2 linked regions of the Cricetulus griseus genome follow. The protein of the gene in region 1 purifies or fractionates together with the protein of each later gene. This does not show direct contact. Links are inferred from orthologs where the notes say so. Each region holds a gene or a part of one and is shown on either strand. Other genes may lie near its edges.

The links. Proteins that work in one complex are often made in the same cells at the same time.
Region 2: the proteins of melanoma inhibitory activity protein 2 (region 1) and Preb purify together in Homo sapiens (affinity purification with western blotting; 3 studies listed by BioGRID and IntAct, with this or other methods). This does not show direct contact. The link is inferred for Cricetulus griseus from reciprocal best matches to the Homo sapiens genes MIA2 and PREB.

The regions. Positions count from the first base shown.
Region 1 is NC_048598.1:143,446,748-143,450,495, forward strand, and holds the start of melanoma inhibitory activity protein 2, read right to left. Parts: upstream 2,468-3,748; 5' UTR 2,453-2,467; coding exon 2,338-2,452; intron 1-2,337. UniProt on the Homo sapiens protein: Plays a role in the transport of cargos that are too large to fit into COPII-coated vesicles and require specific mechanisms to be incorporated into membrane-bound carriers and exported from the endoplasmic reticulum.
Region 2 is NC_048600.1:13,417,638-13,421,328, reverse strand, and holds the start of Preb (prolactin regulatory element-binding protein), read right to left. Parts: upstream 2,913-3,691; 5' UTR 2,723-2,912; coding exon 2,588-2,722; intron 2,021-2,587; coding exon 1,831-2,020; intron 1,398-1,830; coding exon 1,177-1,397; intron 1,005-1,176; coding exon 924-1,004; intron 812-923; coding exon 687-811; intron 527-686; coding exon 353-526; intron 208-352; coding exon 135-207; intron 1-134.

The DNA of each region.
Region 1 (3,748 bases):
CAAGGATCTGTAACGCCAGTTCCAGGGGGTTTCATGCCCTCCTCTGACCTCTGTCAGCACCAGGCATGCAAGTGGTATGCAGAAATACATGCAGACAAAACACTCACACATAAAATAAAATGGATAAATTTTTAAGAACTTTCTTTTTAAAATCAAAAAAGAGAATTTGGAGAGAGGATGTTGCAGAGGCTGCAGGAGGAGTTGGAAATGAGATATGGGGTAGACTTGATCAAAAGCACATTGTATAAATGGATGAAATTTGCCAAAGGATAAATAAAAACATTATTAAATGTAGCACGCAGTTATTAGAGAAAAATTAAAGGGCCTTTATTATGAAATGCCATGTAGTTGGTAGGGACTGGAGATGCAACCCTTTAATCCCGGCAACTTGGGAGGCAGATACAGGCAGATCTCTGTGAGTTTAAGGCCAACCTGGTGTACACAGAGAGTTCCAGGACACCCATGACTATGTATAGAAACTGTCTCCAAAAAACAAAACAAGGAAAAAGGGAAGGAAGGAAGGAGGGAAGGAAAAGAAAAGAAAGATGTTGTGAGCATGTTTCAAATGACTTCTGAGAAAGGCTACAAAATTTTTTATTCATAAAAATATTACTAACGGGCCAGGCAGTGGTGGCTCAGGCCTTTAACCCCAGTACTTGGGAGGCAGAAGCAGGTGGGTCTCTGAGTTAGACGTCAGCCTGATCTACAGTGTGAGTTTCAGGACAGCCAAGGCTACACAAAGAAACCCTGTCTTGGGGGAAAAAAAAATGACTGGGGCTGGAGACATGGCTGAGAAAATGGGAGCACTGGCTGCTCTCCTAGAGCACCTGGGTTCAGTTCCCAGCACCCAAATTGTGGCTGTCCATCTGTGACTCCAGCCAGTGGATTCAGTACTTTCTCTGGCCTCTGAGGGAACCAAGCACACACCCAGTGCCTTTACATGCATGCAGGCAAAACACTGATACACATAGAATAAAGGTAAGTAGATCTTTCCTGTATATCTGTTGGCAATTTTTTGTTTTATATGATTATACTTTGTATTTTAATTTACATTTTTTGCAAAATTAGAAATAGCTTTCATGTGGGAAAGACAAAAGTTATTTTCAACATCTAAGATAAAGATACAATATTTTCCTTCTCTGTTTTTTGTTATTCTTTTATTTTGAAATGAAGAACTCTCTATGTAGATCAAGCTGGCCTGGGACTAGAGATCTGCCGGATTCTGCCTCCTGATTGCTGGGGCTAAAGATGTGTGCCACTGTACTCAGCAGGATAACGTTATTCTGCATCATCGTGTGGATAAGAAAAAATTAAGTTCTTGGAGCTGGAGAGATGATGAGTGGTTAAGAGTACATACTGCTCTTGCAGCCACATGGCAGGTCATAACTGCCATGTAATTCATAACTGTCTGTAATTCAAGTGCCCGGGAATCCAATACCCTCTTTTGAATTCCGTGAGCACTAGGCACATATATTGTATAATACCTGCATACATACATACATACATGCATACATACATACATACATACCTGTAGGCAAAATACCCATATACAAAATAAAAATTTATTTATTTATTTATTTATTTATTATTTATTGGTTTTTCAAGACAGGGTTTCTCTGTGTAGCTTTGGAGACTATCCTGGCACTCACTCTGGAGACCAGGCTGGCCTCGAACTCACAGAGATCTGCCTGCCTCTGCCTCCAGAGTGCTGGGATTAAAGGCCACCAACGCCCGGCAAAAATTTTAAATGTAAGTTCTTAAACAACAAAGTAGAAATTAATTTCTCATCATAGAAATGCAAGAGCATTTAATATTGAATGTTATAAATCATATATATCTATATTAGAACACTTATTTTAACATTTTTATATAATAAATTAACACAAATGATTAGCATTTGATAAAATTTAGACAACTAGATCATGATGTTTGAAATAAAAACATTTTCAGGGAAACTCATGAGAATCAGAAAGTCCTGATTGTGAAATAGGAACTAAAATGTAGAAATTTTATAAATAGTGAATTACCAAACTGCCTGATATCTTCTTAAACAACTCAATTATCTTTTAAAAAAAAAAGTTTTTATTTAGTTTTTGATACATGGATTAATACCATTTCTGACATATTTCTATACGAGTCTTATTTTTGTCTTCTATGTTAAATTTATAATAATGCTATCACAAAATATTTTGCTTCTAGAATTCCTTTTTCATATCAAACTATAGTTTATAATTCAACTATTTCTCAATATTATTATTGTTGATTTCATCATACAGGCTCACAGTAACATTTAATGTAATTTCAGAACTCAGTGTGAAAACGAAGAAGAAAACTTACTTTCACATTCCAAGTCACCACACTTTTTGAGGTGAGCCAGCAGCTTTGTACCTTCCAGACACTTGGCCAGAGAAACAACCAAAAGAAGGATTCTTCGAACACTAATTTCCACCATGGTTAAACAAGACACCAGGAATCCTAAACAAGCATTAAAATGCTTGTTAGGTCACAGACATGCCAGCAAAACAGCAGATACTCTCTTCGTTTGTACAAGAGGAAGAGATTGAGTAATTTTCAGTTCCTCCGTAGTTACATTTTCTTGTCGGTGTACTGGTAGCTTCAGGAATTAACACTCTCTGGTCTCAACCTGCAGTGTCAGTTAGCCAGATAATACAGAAGGGCTTAATAATTAACAGGGATTTTTAGTTGGACTAATGTTTTATAAAGTAGCCCCATGTGAAACTGACTCACTTGAAGGCACCTTTGCTCGGCACCACAGCTTTTAAAGCTGCCACAGAAAGGTAGTTAATCTCTACCATTGTCTTCAGGCAGGTCAGTCAGCATGTACAAAACCAAATATTTACTGCATGCACATTCTAACTTCAAAAGAGAAGGTATAGAGCCAGAAAATGAGTGAATAAGGCAGTGAATAAAAGCATTCACCGTGAAGGCTGATGACCTGAGTTTACTATTGCCTGGATAGAAGGGCAGAACGGATTCATACACACATGAGAGAAAGAGAGGGAGGGAGGGAGGGAGGGAGGGAGAGAGAGAGAGAGAGAGAGAGAGAGAGAGAGAGAGAGAGAGAGAGAGAGAGACTGGCAGAGAGGAGTGTGTGTAAATAAGAAATGTAATTTTAAAATCCCAGCACTCGGGAGGCAGAGGCAGGCGGATCTCTGTGAGTTCGAGACCAGCCTGGTCTACAAGAGCTAGTTCCAGAACAGCCTCCAAAGCCACAGAGAAACCCTGGCTTGAAAAACAAACAAACAAACAAAGTCAAAGATTACACGTGTATTTCTGAAAGTGGAAGGAGGCTCCCTGTAGGTAGAAATGTGATTTCAGAATGTATTCTCCTTCATAGTGAGCATAAGTCATTTAAAAGTAAGTTATGAACATCGAGTTATTTGAATGTTGTTGTTGCTTTAAAAGATCAAAGTCCTATATTGGGAAATTTTGCGTAAGGGACTAGATCTGAAGGTCCCCGGGTCCCCAAAGCACACTGCACTCTGGTGCCGGACAGAATCGACACATATCCATCCCCCCACCACCCCCAACAAGCTAAAGTACCTTTGCTTCCAAAGTCCTAGAACAGAAATACGATTGCTTGCTGGTTTGTTTACCCTTGGAAATCTGCTCTCTCCGAGATAAGGTTTGTACATTTCCAAAAAAAAAGCCAATCAAACATTCACTTGAGGGTCAGTTGGCTTGCAACAGAGCATTTCATAGTTGCGCGCGCACATGAGCGCGCGCG
Region 2 (3,691 bases), on another chromosome or scaffold:
ATGTTCCACAGCCCCAGCAGCCTTCCTGGCCCATGGACTGGGCCAGACTCCTTCCTATACACTCAGGGTAGAGTAAGCCTGCAGCTCCCCACCCTCCATCCCCCATAGGGTTTGTGCCAACCTCTACTCATTACCTGGAGAGAGAAAGCTATATAGATGGCGACAGAGCCAGTGACCGTGCCTAAGCCTAGGAAGGTACCGGATTCACTGTAACAAATAAGAGTATTCGTTGTTCTGGAAGCTTATGCAGAAACCTTCTCACCCAACAGTGGTCCTCAAGAGACTGAGTCAGGACTCACTCCTGAGCTCCCTCAAGCACCCTCCTTTCCAGTTAAGCAACAATATCTCACACCTGACACTGAGGCAGGAGATGACTTCATGGCCACAGGGCCTGGTCCGAAGAGGCAAGAATGTGGAACTGTCCCAGGCTGTGAGGTAGCAGGGTGGGGGCTGACGCAGGCGCTTGTGGGGGATCTGCACTGTGAAGAGTCGCAGCCCCCCAGGTTGATCTGGAACCTTCCCAAACCTGGAAGCCGGGCAAAAGGTTTGTGCCTTCCTATATCCTGGTCACACTTGAAACCACCTCCAACATGGCTACAGCCACCCCCAGTTCCCCTCAGTCTCTTCCCACTTCCCCACTACAGCTGGGGTGTGTCTCTTCCAGCCATGCTCTGTGACCTTCATACCTGCAGGCCTGGTAGCGGTATGGTGTGTCAGAAGAGGCGGGTCCATTCTCTTGCCACTGTAGCTGTGTCACTAGTTGCTCCTTCTGCCACACAGAGGCCTTTAAGTCCCAGCCTACAGTCACCAACTGGGCAGGGGTAAAGATTCCAAATATGGACAGTTAGGACATCTACTTATGAGGCAAGCAGCACAAGAGCCCCCCTTTTCTGTACCAGTACCCCATACCCCCACCTCCTTACCTTGCCATCAGGACCCAAAGCCAAATCTCCAATCTCTCCTTCATGTGCTTTGAAATCCAGAACTTTCTCCAGGCTAGGTACCTACAGCCAAGCCAGCATCACAGTTTAGACCAGACGTAGCAAGAAAACTGCAATCTCCATCTCTCTTACCCCAATGGCCACTCATAAGTTTCCCAGAGTGCATATTCAGTCTCTCACAGTTTTGGAGTTATTGCAACTGACTTCCCTCTCCCTTAGGCCCCTAAAACCATACCTTCCAGACACGAACATGGCCATCAGTCCCTCCAGTAGCAAGCAGGGTATTATCGTGGTTGAAGCACACAACTTTCTGCAGTGGTTCAGTGCTAAAGTCTGTCTGTACTGCCTCCAAATTTTTTACTTTGAGTTCTACCCCTTCAGGGTGTACTTCTGCTCCAGATTTCTTCTCTGCTGGAGCTGCCCCCTTCCTTTGTCGAGGTCCCTGCTCCTTGGAACCTACAACACAATTTTCCAGGGTCCAGACTTCATTTGTTTTGTTTTTCAAGACAGGGTCTCTCTTTGTAACAGTCCTGGCTGTCCTGGAACTCGCTTTGTAGACCAGGCTGGCCTCAAATTCACAGAGATCTGCCTGCCTCTGCCTCCCAAGTGCTGATTTCTTTGGGGTTTCTTGTTATTGTGGTTGTTGCTTTTTAAAGACAGTGACAGAACTTACTATGTTCCCCAAGCTAGCTCTAAATATCCTCTTGCCTCCACTCCTAAGAAAGGAGATTGCACCACCACAACCTAGCAGAATCCAGGCTTCTGTATTAACTAGTATTAGTCCTTCTGTACTGACAGTACGGAGAGTGTTTTGGCGCTACTGAGACCCTACACCTAATCTCTCCTCTTTAGAGACCACGATTAGAGTGATTTTTCCAACGCTCCTCACCTGACTTCTCTGTTTTATTGCGCTTCTGTTGATGGACATGAAAACGTAGAAGCTGACATCGGGCATCCTGTCCGGCAGCAAGGATGTCACCAGCCAGTGCCAAGTTCATAGTGGCCCGTGTCTCTGTGTCATGAGAGTGTAGCAAGGAGGCGCTCAGGCAGCCATTGATTTGCTCTAGCTGCAGAAAGTGCTGGGAGGGAACCAACGTGGGCAAAGTTCAGGCGAGCCCGGAAGTCACATCAAGTCCTAGACTTAGTCGTTTAAGTCCTGTCTTAGTTGTATCCCTTGGCTTCCCGCGCCTCCATCTCATGGGGTTTGTTGTTGTTGCTGTTGTTAGAGCTTTATTTTCTTATTGGAGCTCTCCAATTAGTACAGCAAGTAGGGCTTAGATTACTAAATCCAGTTTACAGAAAGCAAGGAATCCAGGCTCGAGCTGCTTGAAGGCACATAAGACAGTGTGCCTTCCTGGAAAAGGCCAGAAAAGCAGCCCTGGACCAGCTCCCGCGGTCCTGCCTTCGCAGACCCGCACAGTTTCCAGGCTGTTATTTGGACGCCTTAACCACTCTTCTAAGGTGAAACCAGCACCCAGGCGTCTACGCCGGGTTTTCCCACTAGAAACAGGCAGGGCTTAAAGTAGGGGTACGACTCAGCCCTGCATCCCCTCCGCCCCGCCCCCGTCACCCCAGAATCGCCCTCGGGCACGGCACGCCACGGCACGGCACAGCACGACCCGTTCCCAGTTGCCCAGAGTTCTCACCACACCATTCTTGATGCCGGTCTTGGCGGCTCCTCCTCCGCCCGCAGCAATGAGCAGCCCGTTCTTGGGGTCCACCTGGAGCGCGTACAACGGGAACGGGGCCCGGTACAGCTCCACACCCCGGCGCCTGCCCATCCCGCACGCGCGTTCACTGCCAGCCCCGCGGAACCCACGACATGCCGCGCCCTGCCTTCGACCGCTGCCGAACTTGGTACCGCCGTCGCCGGGAAGCCTGAGGACCCCGCTCAGCCCCGCGGGCTCGCCACCCCTCAAACCACCGCAGGTATCCGATCTGCGCTCGCGCGGCTGGAGCTCACTGACGCGCAGTGCGCACGCGCAGCGCTCCTCGGCTCTCTCCGCGCAAGCGCAGGACGCCAATCCGCGTCAGCACTAGCGGGACGCGCTGCCACGGAACCCTGGCAGCGGATCCGGTTCCTCGACCCGAATGACGGCCGATCTGCCATCTTTGTGTGGGGCGTGGGACGTGGGGCTGTAAGAGATTACTGAAGAACAGTAAACTTTGAATTAATAAGTTCTCCAATTGGGGCGGTCCCCACCTCCGGAGATGCTGCACGGACTCGTAGAAGAGAGGACCTTTACGTGTTACTCCGGAGAGGAAGTGTTTTCTCCCTGGGCACAGCGAGGCTTCAAATCATATTCACCGCGTTCTAATAATCCTAATATAAAGAAATCGCTCCCTCCGCCGCGGATTGACACCCAGCTCTGCAACAGAGAAGTTACGGGTGACAGTGGCTCCCCGACAGGTGTATTCTGTGTTGATCTGTGCCTGGTATCTCACCCCCGCCCTTTTAAAGATTGTTCCCTCCTTTCTCCCCGCCTCTCCCGCGTGCGTGCTTCTTGCAGGTGCCCACTGGAACTCGGGTTACAGTCGTGAGTTGCCATGTGGGTGCTGAGAATTGAACCCGAATCCTTTGGAAGAGCAGCCAGGGCTCTTAACCCCTCAGCCATCTCTCCAGTCCCCCTCCCCCCCGCCAATCCCCGCTACCATGGTGGAGGTTCCACCCAAGCCCCCTTCCCTATCTCCCTCCAAACCCCGCCGCAACTCAGAAAGCCCGCCAAATGACGGCCCCTCCCCCAGAGAGG